2 linked regions of the Arabidopsis thaliana genome follow. Each later gene encodes a partner of the first gene's protein in a complex. Each region holds a gene or a part of one and is shown in the gene's direction. Other genes may lie near its edges.

Region 1 (7,944 bases):
GAAATGTCCGAGGTGTGATACCATTGTTCCTTTGCCTACAAATCCTATGAAGAAGAAGCCTAAGATTGATCTCAACATATCAATCTGAATGTTTTGGAGTTTATATTGGAACATTTTTGTAAATGATAGATAACAATTCAGGGGGTTTATTTTGTAAAACTTAAGAAAGAAGAAAAAATTGATGGTAAGGAAGGAAGATTAGAAGGATGTTAATGGTGTTTTTTGTAAATGCGTTAGTTGAACAACAACAAGAATTTTATTTAGAAACATAGTAATTCACGGAATAAATGAGTCAATTAAATGACGACAATTAATGTTACAATTATCTTATTTTCTACTTTTGAATAAACTCGTAGTCCATGGTTGGTTGGAAGGTAGTTTGAATTCATTGTATATGTCCATCTAAATGCACTGTCTTTTTATGAAAAGAAAAAAACTATTATTAATAGTGTTATTTGTCAATTTTGTTATATATTTTAAAAAACTCCTTGATAATGTTTGGCTTGAAATTGTATCCAAATGCCTCTCTTATCTGAGTGGTTATGATTTCCTGAAATTGATGACTACTAATTACTAAATGAAATGAGGAAGTTGTGTTTGCATGCATGCATGATATCTTCAACAAACATGTTTCTCAACCCAATTAAAGATAAATTTTCAATCTCTGTGTTTGGACAAAAATTGATTATAAGAAAAAGGCAAAAATAAATGTGACAACTGTTTAATTTTTTTGAAGGACATTCAATGTTGTAATTTATGTGAGGTTTAACTTTTTAAGGTCATTCAAAGTTATGCTGACCTAACTTCAAATGCTTAGGTCAACAGAGCACACATATTCACATACTATACGAATAACTGCAAGTCTGCAACTAACGTAATAAATCGCGGCTATTAAAATCCGATATGCATGTAGACATGTAGTAGTAAACTTATCTTATTAGTATTTTTTTAAAATGTCAACGAGGTAAGGAAATGTAGAAATGCAAATACTCACGACGAGCATATATTACATGGACGTAATTTCTCCGATATTATACTACGACCGACGAGTAGATGAGTTAGATTTATTACGATAGAATTTATACTAACGGTGGACCTGAAATAATAATATTTCGTAGGTAGTATAGTTTTTGCATTAAACAGTTTTGTATGTGTGTGGCATTAATACATTACTCCGGATGGGATACGTATCGTATAGATTGTATGGTTTGATATTCATCTTTATCCATAACAAAAAAAATCTAGCTAGTGTATATTTTTCGTACGTTACAAGTTTCGAAAATTAGGTTTACGTCTATAATTATATGACAAACATATTTTAAATATCTAAGTCTCATCTTCAATGGAAACTAGTCCTAAACTCCTAAGTTGATGTACGATTTTTTTTCTCGTTAGGTGGATTTCAGATTATAGGAAAATGATATAGAAAAAGAAATAAGAAAAAAAGAAGAGAAATGGAGAAACTCATCCTAATAGAAACGAATTCAATTAATGGGATCGTGACCTCTAATAAATTGTAATTAATGCTCCTGCTACATTTATGAACTTTGGTCATTTCCTTTACGAAAACAATGTAAATTCCACGTGTCAACTTATTTGCCATCTCTCCATTAATTGATTTTGGCATATTTGTTTCATCTCGTGCTTTTCAGGAAAACCACCAAAACAAAATAAGACGAGAAAAACGATATCGTATGAAAATGTGATTTCTCATAGTTACATGTAATTATAAGTCATACGTATATCCGAAAATGTGAACAATTCATTATTTGTCCATGTTTTTCATTATTGAAGCACGTACGACAACGTTTGACCAGCACATTTTTTGGCCCAATATGAATCCCCATAGAGAGATTCTTTTTTGGCCCAATTAAACAGCGGTATAAATAAATGGGCCTAGCCCATGTTGTTTTTATTTTTATACTATTTTATTATTTCCACCCTCTTCACAAAAACCCTAAACCCTAATTTGAAGTTGTTCGATTCGATATCCTTGTGTGTGTGTGCAGACAGTTTTCATTTTCCAATTCCATTACTGCCTCTTCTTTGTTGCTGGTTCTGAGTCAGTGGTGATAATGGGCAAAAATAGGCGTAAACAGAAGGTTATACCTCCACCGCTGCTTCCGCCAGATGTAGCCGAAGAGGATATTGAGTTTTCCGACGAGGATTTGAAGTATGTCAAAGAGAACACAGATTACGCCCAATTCGTCTCTCAAATTGACACCGCCGCTATCAATAAGTGCGTTTACGTCTCTTTTCGAATTGTTTTGCAATTTGGTGATTTTTAGTATTAGGGTTGATTTTACCACAATCAATACTTGCTATGTCCGAATCGAGTTTGAATCTCTGCATTGATAATATCTTGTTACGCTGTTGTTAGGCAATGTGGTGGTAGAGTAATGACAGTGGAGGATAAGTATGAAGAAGAACGATCAAAGAGGAAGACACTTCAGGAAGAGAAAGGGAATGGCGAGATCCTTGTGGATCCTGTTGATGTGCTCCCTGTCAAGACTTTAGATGGAAAACTTCACTATCGAACAGGTGAGAAATGAGAAGACTCTTGTGTTTTTTGTTTAATGGCTCGAGTTGAGTAGCATTCTAAGTGGAGGTTTTTCTGTTTTGTGGCTACTGGTTCAGAGTCAAAGAAGTCAAAACTAGCTGAAGCCGAAACAGATGAAGCAGAGAAGGATGTTCTTGAAGATGAACATGTATTGAACAAATCTCAAAGAAGAGAAAAAGCTAAAAAGAGTAAAAGGGAGGCAAAGAAACATGAGAAAGATTTGCCTGATGAGATATTACAAGAGGAAGAAGAAACTCCCCAAGCCGCTGTTCTGGTATTGCCTGTTTTGAGTTTCTCTTTTTTTCTTGGTTCATTATATAAGTTGCTAAAAATTTCATTGTTCGTTCTTTGACATCATTTTTCATTTTGAGCATCATATTTGATAGCTTTCTGCATCTTCATCGTTTAACATCTTTCCATTAAAAGAATTTATAAGAACGTTTAATCATTGGTATTTGTAATTTGTAATTTGGAGCGTTTTAGTGTTTTCCATATCCATTCATCATGTTTTTTTTTAACGTGTGAATGATTCTCTTCCTTCATCAGGCAGAAGTGAAAGAAGAACTATCTGCTGAAGAGTCATTTGAAAATAAGAAAAATAAAATCGCGGAATTGGGAATGCTACTACTTTCTGATCCAGAGGCAAACATAAAAACTTTGAAGGATATGTTAGATATCTGCAAGGATCAGAATACGAAGATTGTGAAACTTGCCTTGTTATCTCTGTTGGCCGTATTTAAAGATATTATTCCTGGGTAATTTTATTAATCTTCTATGTACCTTTTTTCCTCATTTGATTTGCTAATTATTCTCTTCATTCTCCCCCTTTAATTATGTTGGTAATTAGCTCTTCTTATTTTTTTTGTGGTGCCAGCTATCGGATTAGACTTCCTACAGAAAAGGAGCTCGAGATGAAGATCTCAAAGGAAGTGAAGAAAACCCGGTTCTATGAGTCGACTTTATTAAAAGCTTACAAGGTGTGCATGTCAGTTATATATTATTCTTGATTTCTCTGAGTATAATTGTAACACGTTTTCCTTTGCTTCTGATGTCCTTAACAGTCATATCTGCAGAAGTTGATTATATTTGAAAAGCAGTCAGTATATAACCAAATTGCCAATCGGTGCCTTTGTACATTGCTGGAAGCAGTTCCTCACTTCAACTACCGTGATAACCTGTTAATTGCTGTTGTCAGAAATATCAGCTCCCCAGATGAAGTCGTAAGGTCCTGGTTCTTTTAACCCTTTTTCAGAGTGACGAATAATGTCTAACTGATATACCATGGAATCTAACGTAAAGTAGAACTGTTAATATCTCTTGTGTCATAGTCATGTCATTTTACTGCAATTGCATCCATTTCGTTCCTATCTAACTCATTTCTTGCACCGGTTTGGGTATGCAGGAGACTCTGTTGCTCTACTATCAGGTATCTTTTCTCAAATGAAGGGAAACATGGTGGTGAGCTGACCGTGCAAGCTGTACGCCTGATTGCTGATCATGTCAAAGCTCACAACTGCCAACTTCATCCTAATGCTATCGAGGTATTCATTGGTATTATTTTAACATTCTAAGAACCACACATTTACACACCAATCACTGAGTAAAGGTGTTATAATTGCTCCTGTTTGAAAAACTAAATCACGAAGTTCACATTATCATTGGAAAACATTTTGTAAGACTATTGCAAGCGCTTAATAACTGAGGAGCAATCTGGTTATATTTCTTATCTCTGTGTTTGTTCTCATTTACCCTTGCTTCCATTTTTCTATTGATCCTTAGGTGTTCATGTCCATTCGCTTTGATGAGGATATTGGAAAGCCTAACAAAGAGGATGAACATAACAAGAAATATAAGAAAAATAATAAAAGAAAAACCCAGGAGGAGCAAAATCAAGTGCAGGAAAATGAGAGGAAGAAATCAAAGAAAGATATGATGTCTAAGATCAGAGACGAGGTAATTTACTTTCCTTCTGTGCCATAGATTTGTTGGTGTTTTAATCTTGTTTTCTCTTTCATTGACAACCATTTATATGACCAAAACATCTAAAATTGATTTCCCGTCGTACTATTGGTTTGCTATAAATTGATATTTCTTCATTACTTGTTCTTAGGTTTCTGCTGATCACAGAGGAGTTACCTATGAACCGGATGCTAAGGAGCGGCGAAAGATGCAGACAGAGACACTTTCTGCTGTTTTTGAGACCTATTTCCGTATCCTGAGAAACACAATGTATACAATTGGCGAAAGGTATCTATATATACATTTTTGCAACCATTTTAGCAAATAAATCCTAAAGTTGGACTTATTTACAACCCAATGCCATTAGCATTAAATATTTTTTCCAAAATAATTAACTTTACTTAAAATTTTTAATTTAAATTGTCAATCACATTATCAATCAAATTTAATCCAATCAAATTTAATCCAAACAAAGTTCACATCAATCCCTTAAAATTAGCATAAACGTATTTTATTAACAATATTTTAAAACAAAGTTTTTTGTTTAAAAAATATTGTTCTTACTAAACGTTTTTTGCTTAAATAAACAAATCATGTATTTGAACTTATTTACAATGTCACGCTACTGACATTAATTATTTAGGCATAAAAATATTTATTTACAGATTTAAATCTTCTAAATTTTTGCTTTTAGAGTTATTATATCATTACCTAAAAGGCAAAAAATATTAATTTTTAAATATTATTATTTGTATATTTAAACTTCATAAAACATTATTAATATTTAAATTTATAAAAAGTTTAATCTATCAAAAATAATTAACATCATTATTTAATATATAGAGTTAAAAAAAATCTCAAAAACAAATCGTCATATTTTGTGATTCGAAATTTTATGAATGAACATATATTAACCAATTGGCGAAAAATGTGTGGGTTCAACGTCCCGCAACGACTAAAATATTTTGACAATGATTCATAAACATATTATAAATAAGATCAACATTAATAAAATAAATAGTTTTTTTTTGTTGACGGGTTTGTCAGGACGGGTTTGGCAGGACGTTACTTAGTAACAATGGTAAACTATAAAATAATTTACAAATTTTTATATATATTAATTTTAAAAAATAAATTGTCTCCGCGGTGTACCGCGGGTTAAAATCTAGTTTTCATATATTTTAAAAGCTAATTTAAATTGTGTTTTCAGTTGTCGTGAGTAGGAATTAAATAATGCTTATGTTCTTATCAAAATCTCAAAAGAATATTTCCCCGTCTGCAAAATCGGTTCCAGTAAAATTCTTGGTGTGAATTCTCGTTGGCTTTACAGTCACAGATAACTATTTAACTGGTCATATGTCTGTGTCAGTTATTTTAATTCTATTTTACAACGTCACTTTCACTAAATTTCAGAACAGAAGAAATTCCAACTTCAAATCCGGGTGCCTTTGGATCGCACCCTTTGCTAGCTCCATGCTTGGATGGGTTGGCAAAATTCACCCAACAACTGGACTTGGACTACATGGGAGATCTAATGAACTATCTCAAGAAGCTTGCTTCTAGCAGTAGCAGCGTCTCCAACAACACAAAGCAGAAAAACTCAAAACTGTTGACAGTATCTGAACGCCTTAGGTGTTGCCTTGTCGCCTTCAAAGTCATGAGGAGCAACTTAAATGCCTTGAATGTTGACTTGCAAGACTTCTTTGTCCAACTTTACAACCTCATTCTCGAGTACCGCCCTGGAAGGTTTGTTATAACTTTTTCCTCTTTTTTAACCACGACATAAGTTAAATCTAGTTTAGTCTAAAACACTTTGTGATGTGATACAGAGATTCAGGTGTAATCTTGGCTGAGTCTCTGAAGATAATGTTGTGCGACGACAGACATCAAGACATGCAAAAAGCAGCTGCATTTGTAAAACGTTTAGCCACATTCGCGCTATGCTTTGGATGTGCCGAATCTATGTCTGGTAATAAACATTACAAATACTTTGAATTACACATCGCATTTCCCTTATCTCAAATCTGTCGCTCAGTCTCTCCAATTGTCTTTCTTTTATAGCGCTAGTCACTTTGAAAACTCTGCTTCAGAAGAACGTGAAATGCAGAAACCTTCTAGAGAACGATGCTGGAGGCGGCTCTGTTTCCGGTTCAATTGCAGTAAGTCACAAATATTTAGCCTCGTATACAGATTTAACTTTAGTAATATGATTTGTTGCTTAGCGAAATCTCTCGATTGCAGAAATATCAGCCGTATGCAACAGATCCTAACCTAAGCGGGGCTTTAGCAACAGTGCTTTGGGAACTCAGTCTCTTGAGTAAACATTATCATCCTGCGATCTCAACAATGGCCACAACAGTCTCCAACATGAACACTTCTCAGAGCCAAACATTTCTTTCTGCAGTGACTCCACAACAGGCTTTTGCAGATTTCTCTCTTGTAAAGGAATCGTTTGAGCCGAAGAACGAGTCTCGGAAATTGAACAACAAACGGAAACGGGAGAGTTTGCCTGAAGAAGCTAAGAATGTTCCGGAAATAGACATGGTTAAGCTCAGCAAGAAATTGAAAGAGAACTTTACTATTCTTCGGGATATAAAAGAGGACGAGAGAGTGAGAATGGAGTTGTTGCAGTCTGAAGAGAAAAAACCATTGAAGAAACAGAACAACGTGGTGAAGAAGAAACTTAAGAACCCTAAATCCAAAAAGCAAATTTGAAAGGCTTTTTGTTTTCCCGCTTTAACGGTTATATACTTTGCTTAAATTAAACGCTTCAATGAAATTTTTCGAGTACAATTTTGTTAAAGAGTGAAATCAACAAGAAGAGTATTTTTCATTTTATTCACATCCACCCTGGTAATCCTAAAAACTTGTGTTTATAAGTTATGATGTTCTCGTATATTTTCAGGATTATTTATTCGAACTGATTCTTATAAAGTGGTACCAACATCGTATAAAAATCCATCGTTTATACAAAACAACGTAGTCTTACATGTGCCATAGAGTTGAAAGATACGCAAATCATCCTCTAATCCACTAACAGTTCGCCACAAACCGTTTACTTTGTTATAAAAATAGAGATGGAGATCTCAGCTAATGTATGTTGTACGCTGTGAACAGCAAATTGTTCCCCACAAAAAAAAAAAGTCCAGCCGTACAACGGTACAAGAAGATACGGCCATGTTGAGACCTTTTGTTCTAGACCCCATTTTAATACACCTATAACTATAAGTCTCTCGTCGTTACTACAAGATATTTGCTACTTTATACTATATTTTTTTCGAATTATCATAGGTCTTCAATTAATAAGTACAAAAATTCAATAAAAAATATGTGTAATCATTATAGTGGATTTACATCTTTTCATAGTGTATTATCCACGCAAGACTCACATCGCATCATATATCTGAACTTTTCAATCAATTAAA
Region 2 (6,050 bases), on another chromosome or scaffold:
AAATTTAAAGGATATGAAATTCGTGATACACACAAATTTATAAATAGCTGTTAACATTTACTGACCAAAATAATATAAGTTATGTGAAAAAGTTTGAAAAATAACACAATATTTTTTTTTGTTCACTAAAATATTATAAATTATGCGAACATTGAGTTTTTTATTTTGCCATTTAAAATGTTCACAGTGGCTAACATGATTGAAATCTTAGTAGTAAGACTCAAAGTTAGTCATTCAACTACCATAGTGAATCTTTTAACCACGAAACCACCATAATCAGTCTTCCTGTAAATAATCACCTAATCGGATGTTGCTACCTAATAAAAAATTATTCATTTAACTATAAAATTTATCTATCACAAAACGAAATTATATATCCGTTTGGGTTTACTAGAGAGGATTAATGATTATATTTTATGATTAAACAAAATTAGCTATCTGTTTGGATTTATAAACGAGTTTATATTTTACAAGTAAATGAGGTTAAATGTCAGTTAAGATTTATAAAAGAATTTAGATTTTATAATTAAACGAGATTAAATATCGGTTTGAGTTTAGAAAAAACGGTTAGATTTAAATTTTATAATTAAACGAGTTTAAATATCGGTTTGAATTTAAAAAAGAGAATTAGAGTTTAGATTTTGTAATCAAACGAGATCATATATCATGTTTGATTTATGAAAAACAATTAGACCATTCACATTGCATAACCTCTCATGTATGTCTTAAAGACTAACCATAGTTAAAATTAAAGACATTTCCTTTTGGATGTCAAAAATATCTTCCTTAAGATATTTTAGACATCTAAAAAATAAAATGTTTTTAATTTTAATCATGGTTAGTCTATTTTTACCATGGTTGGTCTTGGAGACATTAATAAAAGATTATGCAATGTAGATGCTTTTAGTATTTAGAATGGAAGTGAAAAAAAGAATTCATCGTAAAGATGAACTCAAGAATTGTTCGATAATATATGTGTTATTTTCAAAAATACTTTAATTTATAAATAATGAATATTTGATATCTTTTAAGTAAATAAAAAATGTGGTAAAATGAAAATAACTAAACAAAAAAAAACTTGAAATATACAAGGGATTGGGAAATGTCATGCATAAGATACTTTGGGGTTTGATGACATAGATGAATAAAGATTTTGAAGAACACATGCCGGTTAAAGCCTAAATAATTCGGTTAAACACTCGCAAATTGGATTTTTGGTTAAACCAATTGGTAGACGTGTCAAACCTAAACCTTCCATTGCGCTAAGACGTTTCGAAACTCACAAAGATAAACCCTAAAACAATAAACTTTTCCTCAGACATCAGCCTCGGCGACCACGACAACAACTTCATTTTTTCTCGTCGAGTTTTTTTCTGGGAATTGCAGGTAATCTCTCGTTAACGTGCCCCTCTGGTTTCTCAAATTTGGGAACTCTGTTTTTGTTCTGTTCTGGGAAAGTAGAACAATTCGAATTACGGTTCGACCGAAGTCAAACCGGGTTTTGTCCGGTTAAATAAATTGAAAGAAAAAACAAAGGAACACTGTAATAAAAACCCTCTCCTAAAACCCTAATTTCTTCTTCTCTCCGTCTTCCTTCTTGTTGTTCCCGGTGCGATTTCTTTCATTTTGATTTCGATAGTTTATTCTTCTCCTTGTTTTCACTGTTTGTGTGATTGATTCTCTCCATGAATTGATAATTCTTACACTATTGTCTTTTAGCTCGACTCTTAAACTGATTTGTTCTTGTTACCATTGATGGTTTTAATTGCAGGTGGATTTATCAGAGTGTTGTGCTAACAAATGGGTGCCAAAGGTTCGATTTTTATCCAGTTTTTGGATTTATATTGTAATTAGAGCTTAAGGGATTCGAGATTGATAAACACTTTAAATCAAATGTAGATGATAAAAAGCGTGTGAAGAAGTTGAAATCTAAGAAACTAGAAGCTGAGGAAGAGCTCAATAATGTTCAAGAAATCGATGCACATGATATAGTAATGGAGCAGAAGAGCGATAAGAAGCGTGGGAAGAAGGTGAAATCTAAGAAAGCAGAAGCTGAGGAGCATGAAGAAGAGCTTAAGAGGCTTCAAGAAAAGGTGAGTCATCTATGAAACATGTTTGGTTGCGATATTGTAATGATATATTAGTGGAAAGTTGAGTTTTTTTTTTAACTTTACGGATTTTTTTGTTCCGCAGGATCCTGATTTTTTTCAGTATATGAAAGAGCATGATGCAGAGCTTCTAAAGTTTGATGCTACTGAAATTGAGGTGAGTTTTGTTAGTTTGTATATGTTGAGTTTGTGACTCGACTTCCAGTTGTGTTGGAAGCTTTTTGTCTTAGGGATTCACATTTTGTAGGATGATGCTGATGTTGAACCTGATACTGACCTGGAAGACACTGAAAAGGAAGGTGATGATGAAGCAACAAAGATGGAAATTGCAAAGAAAGTGCACGTGCAGAAAACGATTACAGCATCGATGGTTGATGCATGGAGTAAATCAATCGAAGATGAAGCGAAGCTAGGTGGAGTGCGTTCTATCTTGAGAGCTTATAGAACTGCCTGTCACTATGGTGATGATACCGGGGACGATCAATCGACAAAGTTTAGTGTTATGTCAAGTGAGGTGTTTAATAAGATAATGATATATGTTCTGAGTGAAATGGACGGGATTCTTCGTAAGTTGTTAAGGTTTCCTGAAGATACTAGAGGAACAAAAGAGACTATATTGGAGCTCACAAACACTAGGCCTTGGAAAAACTATAATCATTTAGTCAAATCATATCTTGGGAATTCCCTTCATGTTCTGAACCAGATGACCGACACAGAAATGATAACCTTTACTCTGCGCCGCCTAAAGCACTCATCGGTTTTTTTAGCTGCTTTTCCTAGCCTCCTAAGGAAATATATTAAGGTGTGTTGGAGCAAGATAGTATTCTGTTCATGTTTCTTCTTTATGGTCCTTTCTTTGCTCACTTCATTGTTGCTCTTCTGCCATCTAGGTTGCACTTCATTTCTGGGGAACTGGTAGTGGTGCGCTCCCTGTTGTTTCCTTGTTGTTCCTGAGAGATTTGTGCATACGCCTTGGATCTGACTGTGTTGATGACTGTTTCAAGGGAATGTACAAAGCGTATGTGTTGAATTGCCAGTTTGTGAATGCTGATAAATTGAAGCATATTTCGTTTCTTGGTAACTGCTTCATTGAGCTTCTCGGCACAGATATCTCTGCAGCATATCAGCATGCATTTGTCTTCATAAGACAATTGGCAATGATTCTGCGTGAAGCGCTTAACACAAAAACAAAAGTACTTTCTCAATAATCTTCATAAATTGAGTTCTTCTGACAACAATTATGTGTTGAGAAAAGTTGCTGTTAACTCTTATTTACATTTGGTTGTTTTCACAGGAAGCATTTCGAAAAGTGTATCAATGGAAATTCATCCATTGCCTTGAGCTTTGGACTGGAGCTGTTTGTGCCTACAGCTCTCAGTCTGAACTCAGACCAGTTGCTTATCCGCTAGCCCAAATAATAACTGGTGTAGCGCGACTGGTTCCCACGGCTCGCTACACTCCCCTTAGACTAAGATGTGTTCGTATGCTAAACAGGCTTGCTGCTGCGACTGGCACCTTTATACCTGTCTCAATGCTTCTTGTGGACATGTTAGAGATGAAGGAGCTCAACAGACCTCCCACTGGAGGTGTTGGCAAAGGTGTAGACTTACGCACACTACTGAAGGTAAAAACTTGCGTGGTTGGGTCTTTACTAATAGAGTATAGAATGAAACTTTATCCTGCAAACTAACCATTTTGGATATTGGCTCTCTTTTTAGGTAAGTAAACCAGCAGTGAAGACAAGAGCGTTTCAGGAGGCATGTGTTTATACAGTAGTGGAGGAGCTTGTGGAGCATTTGTCTCAGTGGAGTTGTTCCGTTGCTTTCTTTGAACTATCATTTATCCCGACCATAAGGCTGCGTAGCTTTTGCAAATCCACGAAAGCTGAGAGGTTTAGGAAAGAAATGAAGCAACTCATCAGCCAGGTAATAAAGAGAAAAAAAGAGAAATGCGGTTTTACTTTATGTCTCTTGTACTTGCAATAAAAGAACCGACTTTATTGACTTGTGTGTTGATGACTCCTTCAATCTCTCTTTTGCTTTTCAGATTGAAGCTAACTCAGAATTTGTCAACAAAAAGAGAGCTTTGATTAAGTTTCTACCCAATGATCTTGCTGCTGAATCATTCCTTGAGGTTTAGTAACTCATTTCTCTTGATCCATTTGATTTTTTCAATTGTTAGTGATGATAATACAAAACCTATATTTGTTTCTTTCTTCCCGTCTTTGAAACTACTGCTGCATTCTTCGAAAATTTTGTGGGATACCACAAGTTGTTTATGATTACAGAACACATGTTTACTCCAAAATGATTGCAAACATGGTTTCAAATTATTTTTTGGGTCTTCTCTGTTCAGGATGAGAAGAAAGCAGGAAAAACCCCTCTATTGCAATATGCGGAAATTATCCGCCAAAGAGCCCAGCAAAGAAACGAATCGCTGGTGGAATCTGAGTGCGTTACATTCCTCTAAAGTTGATCACTTGTATATTTTTGTTGTATGACTTTGACGGATACTAATAATCCGTTTGGTTTCTCCAGTGTAATTGTGGGAGAGAACTCAGCTGTCTTTGGGAAAAACGCACCAAGCAGTGATGATGAAGATGATGAAGATAGGATGGAAAAGGGTGCTGCAGCTTTCAATTCTTCTTGGTTACCGGGAAGTGACTCCAAGTATGTCTCTCTTTCTCTTAAAATGCACACATATCGGGGTTTCATATGGTATAGCACCGCCAACGGTAGTGTATGGTGCGAGTAGGTTAAAAATTACTTCCCCAAATATCACCAAGTAATATAGATTAGGCCTGGTCGGGTCTATGGTTTTAAGGCCTTCTGTTTATTTCTTAGTACTTTGGACATTTATGGGTGGCTTTATCAACTTAAGAATATAGATAGGATGGGAACCGGGTTGTCTCCTACGCCTATAACGTAGATATTTTATCTGACCGTTGTGATATAACCTAAAACAACAAATGTGTAATTAACAGAGAAAAAGAGCCGGAAGAAGAGAAAACGAAAAAGAAGAAAAGGAAGAGAGGTGGAAAGAGTAAAACAGAGAAGAAGCAGGATGAGCAAGGCTTAGGAGAAGATGACGTTGTGGAGGATTTTGTGTTGAGTTCTGATGAAGAGGAAGAGGATCTGTTTGATATAGGAGGAGACAAAGATGAAGATGATGCAGTAGACGAAATTGCAGATCCTGAGACCAAGACATCTAAGAAGACTAAGGGCACTTATAAGACCTGGCATAAGGCTTACAAAAAGACCAAGAAGAAGAAGGCCCGAGTAGCTTCTTAAGTTTTTTTTGTATCTTCTTCGATTTGTATGAGAGTACTTTTCGGATGTTTGCGAAACAACATTAAACAAAATTTTGGGGAAAAGAAAAGCTAATATTTCAAATTTTATGATTGTACTGGAAATTTTTCATCATCATCAGAAAGCTTTAAGTTCAACAATGTTTTCTGATGAGCATTACGAAATTAAATGCACCAATTGAAATTTTATCTAACATGCATGTAGTATAGAAGGCGGCTTCAGTGATGTCTAAGCAAACCGGGAGGAACGGAAAAGGACTGGTTTCTTCATTAGCGTTGCAGGCCAGCTTTGATGTAAGCTGCGTAAAGATCCCTGCGTTTCAAAACAGTACATTGCTCATTATTAACAAAACAACGTGTAAATAATTTGGTGTTTGGGATAAAACAAACTTACATGGAGTCCTTGATAGCGTCTATGGCAGCTTGAGCGGGAAGGAAAGCTTCAACGTCGACTTTCTTGTTCTCGTTCTTCTTGTCTAAAAACATTGTTTGTTAAGTGAAAACTGAAAACAAATCATAAGCGAAAACAAAATTATACGTTAAATGCAACATGTCTCTGTAGGATACAGTCCTCAAAGAAGCGACGGATTTCAGCTAGACGGTGAGGGGGAAGCTCTTTGATGTCTCTGTAGTGA

What was found. The genes of interacting proteins can lie anywhere in the genome.
Region 2: AT1G79150 (region 1) and AT2G18220 share a complex: the UniProt entries of both Arabidopsis thaliana proteins name them as parts of the nucleolar complex.

Annotation. Positions count from the first base shown.
Region 1 is NC_003070.9:29,772,006-29,779,949, reverse strand, and holds AT1G79150 (binding protein), read left to right. Parts: upstream 1-1,933; 5' UTR 1,934-2,075; coding exon 2,076-2,239; intron 2,240-2,380; coding exon 2,381-2,541; intron 2,542-2,637; coding exon 2,638-2,834; intron 2,835-3,106; coding exon 3,107-3,315; intron 3,316-3,434; coding exon 3,435-3,537; intron 3,538-3,621; coding exon 3,622-3,785; intron 3,786-3,962; coding exon 3,963-4,101; intron 4,102-4,339; coding exon 4,340-4,513; intron 4,514-4,670; coding exon 4,671-4,807; intron 4,808-5,932; coding exon 5,933-6,265; intron 6,266-6,348; coding exon 6,349-6,488; intron 6,489-6,580; coding exon 6,581-6,678; intron 6,679-6,760; coding exon 6,761-7,234; 3' UTR 7,235-7,440; downstream 7,441-7,944. Other genes in the region: AT1G79160 (filamentous hemagglutinin transporter), read left to right, coding at 1-88. UniProt on the Arabidopsis thaliana protein: May be required for synthesis of 60S ribosomal subunits and the transport of pre-ribosomes from the nucleoplasm to the cytoplasm. Also required for initiation of DNA replication.
Region 2 is NC_003071.7:7,926,454-7,932,503, forward strand, and holds AT2G18220 (Noc2p family), read left to right. Parts: upstream 1-1,561; 5' UTR 1,562-1,609; intron 1,610-1,771; 5' UTR 1,772-1,800; coding exon 1,801-1,813; intron 1,814-1,899; coding exon 1,900-2,093; intron 2,094-2,193; coding exon 2,194-2,265; intron 2,266-2,355; coding exon 2,356-2,910; intron 2,911-2,998; coding exon 2,999-3,301; intron 3,302-3,402; coding exon 3,403-3,732; intron 3,733-3,826; coding exon 3,827-4,033; intron 4,034-4,154; coding exon 4,155-4,241; intron 4,242-4,463; coding exon 4,464-4,558; intron 4,559-4,645; coding exon 4,646-4,777; intron 4,778-5,091; coding exon 5,092-5,398; 3' UTR 5,399-5,500; downstream 5,501-6,050. Other genes in the region: PPa2 (pyrophosphorylase 2), read right to left, coding at 5,686-5,728, 5,810-5,891, 5,983-6,050. UniProt on the Arabidopsis thaliana protein: Together with SWA2, probably involved in pre-ribosome export from the nucleus to the cytoplasm.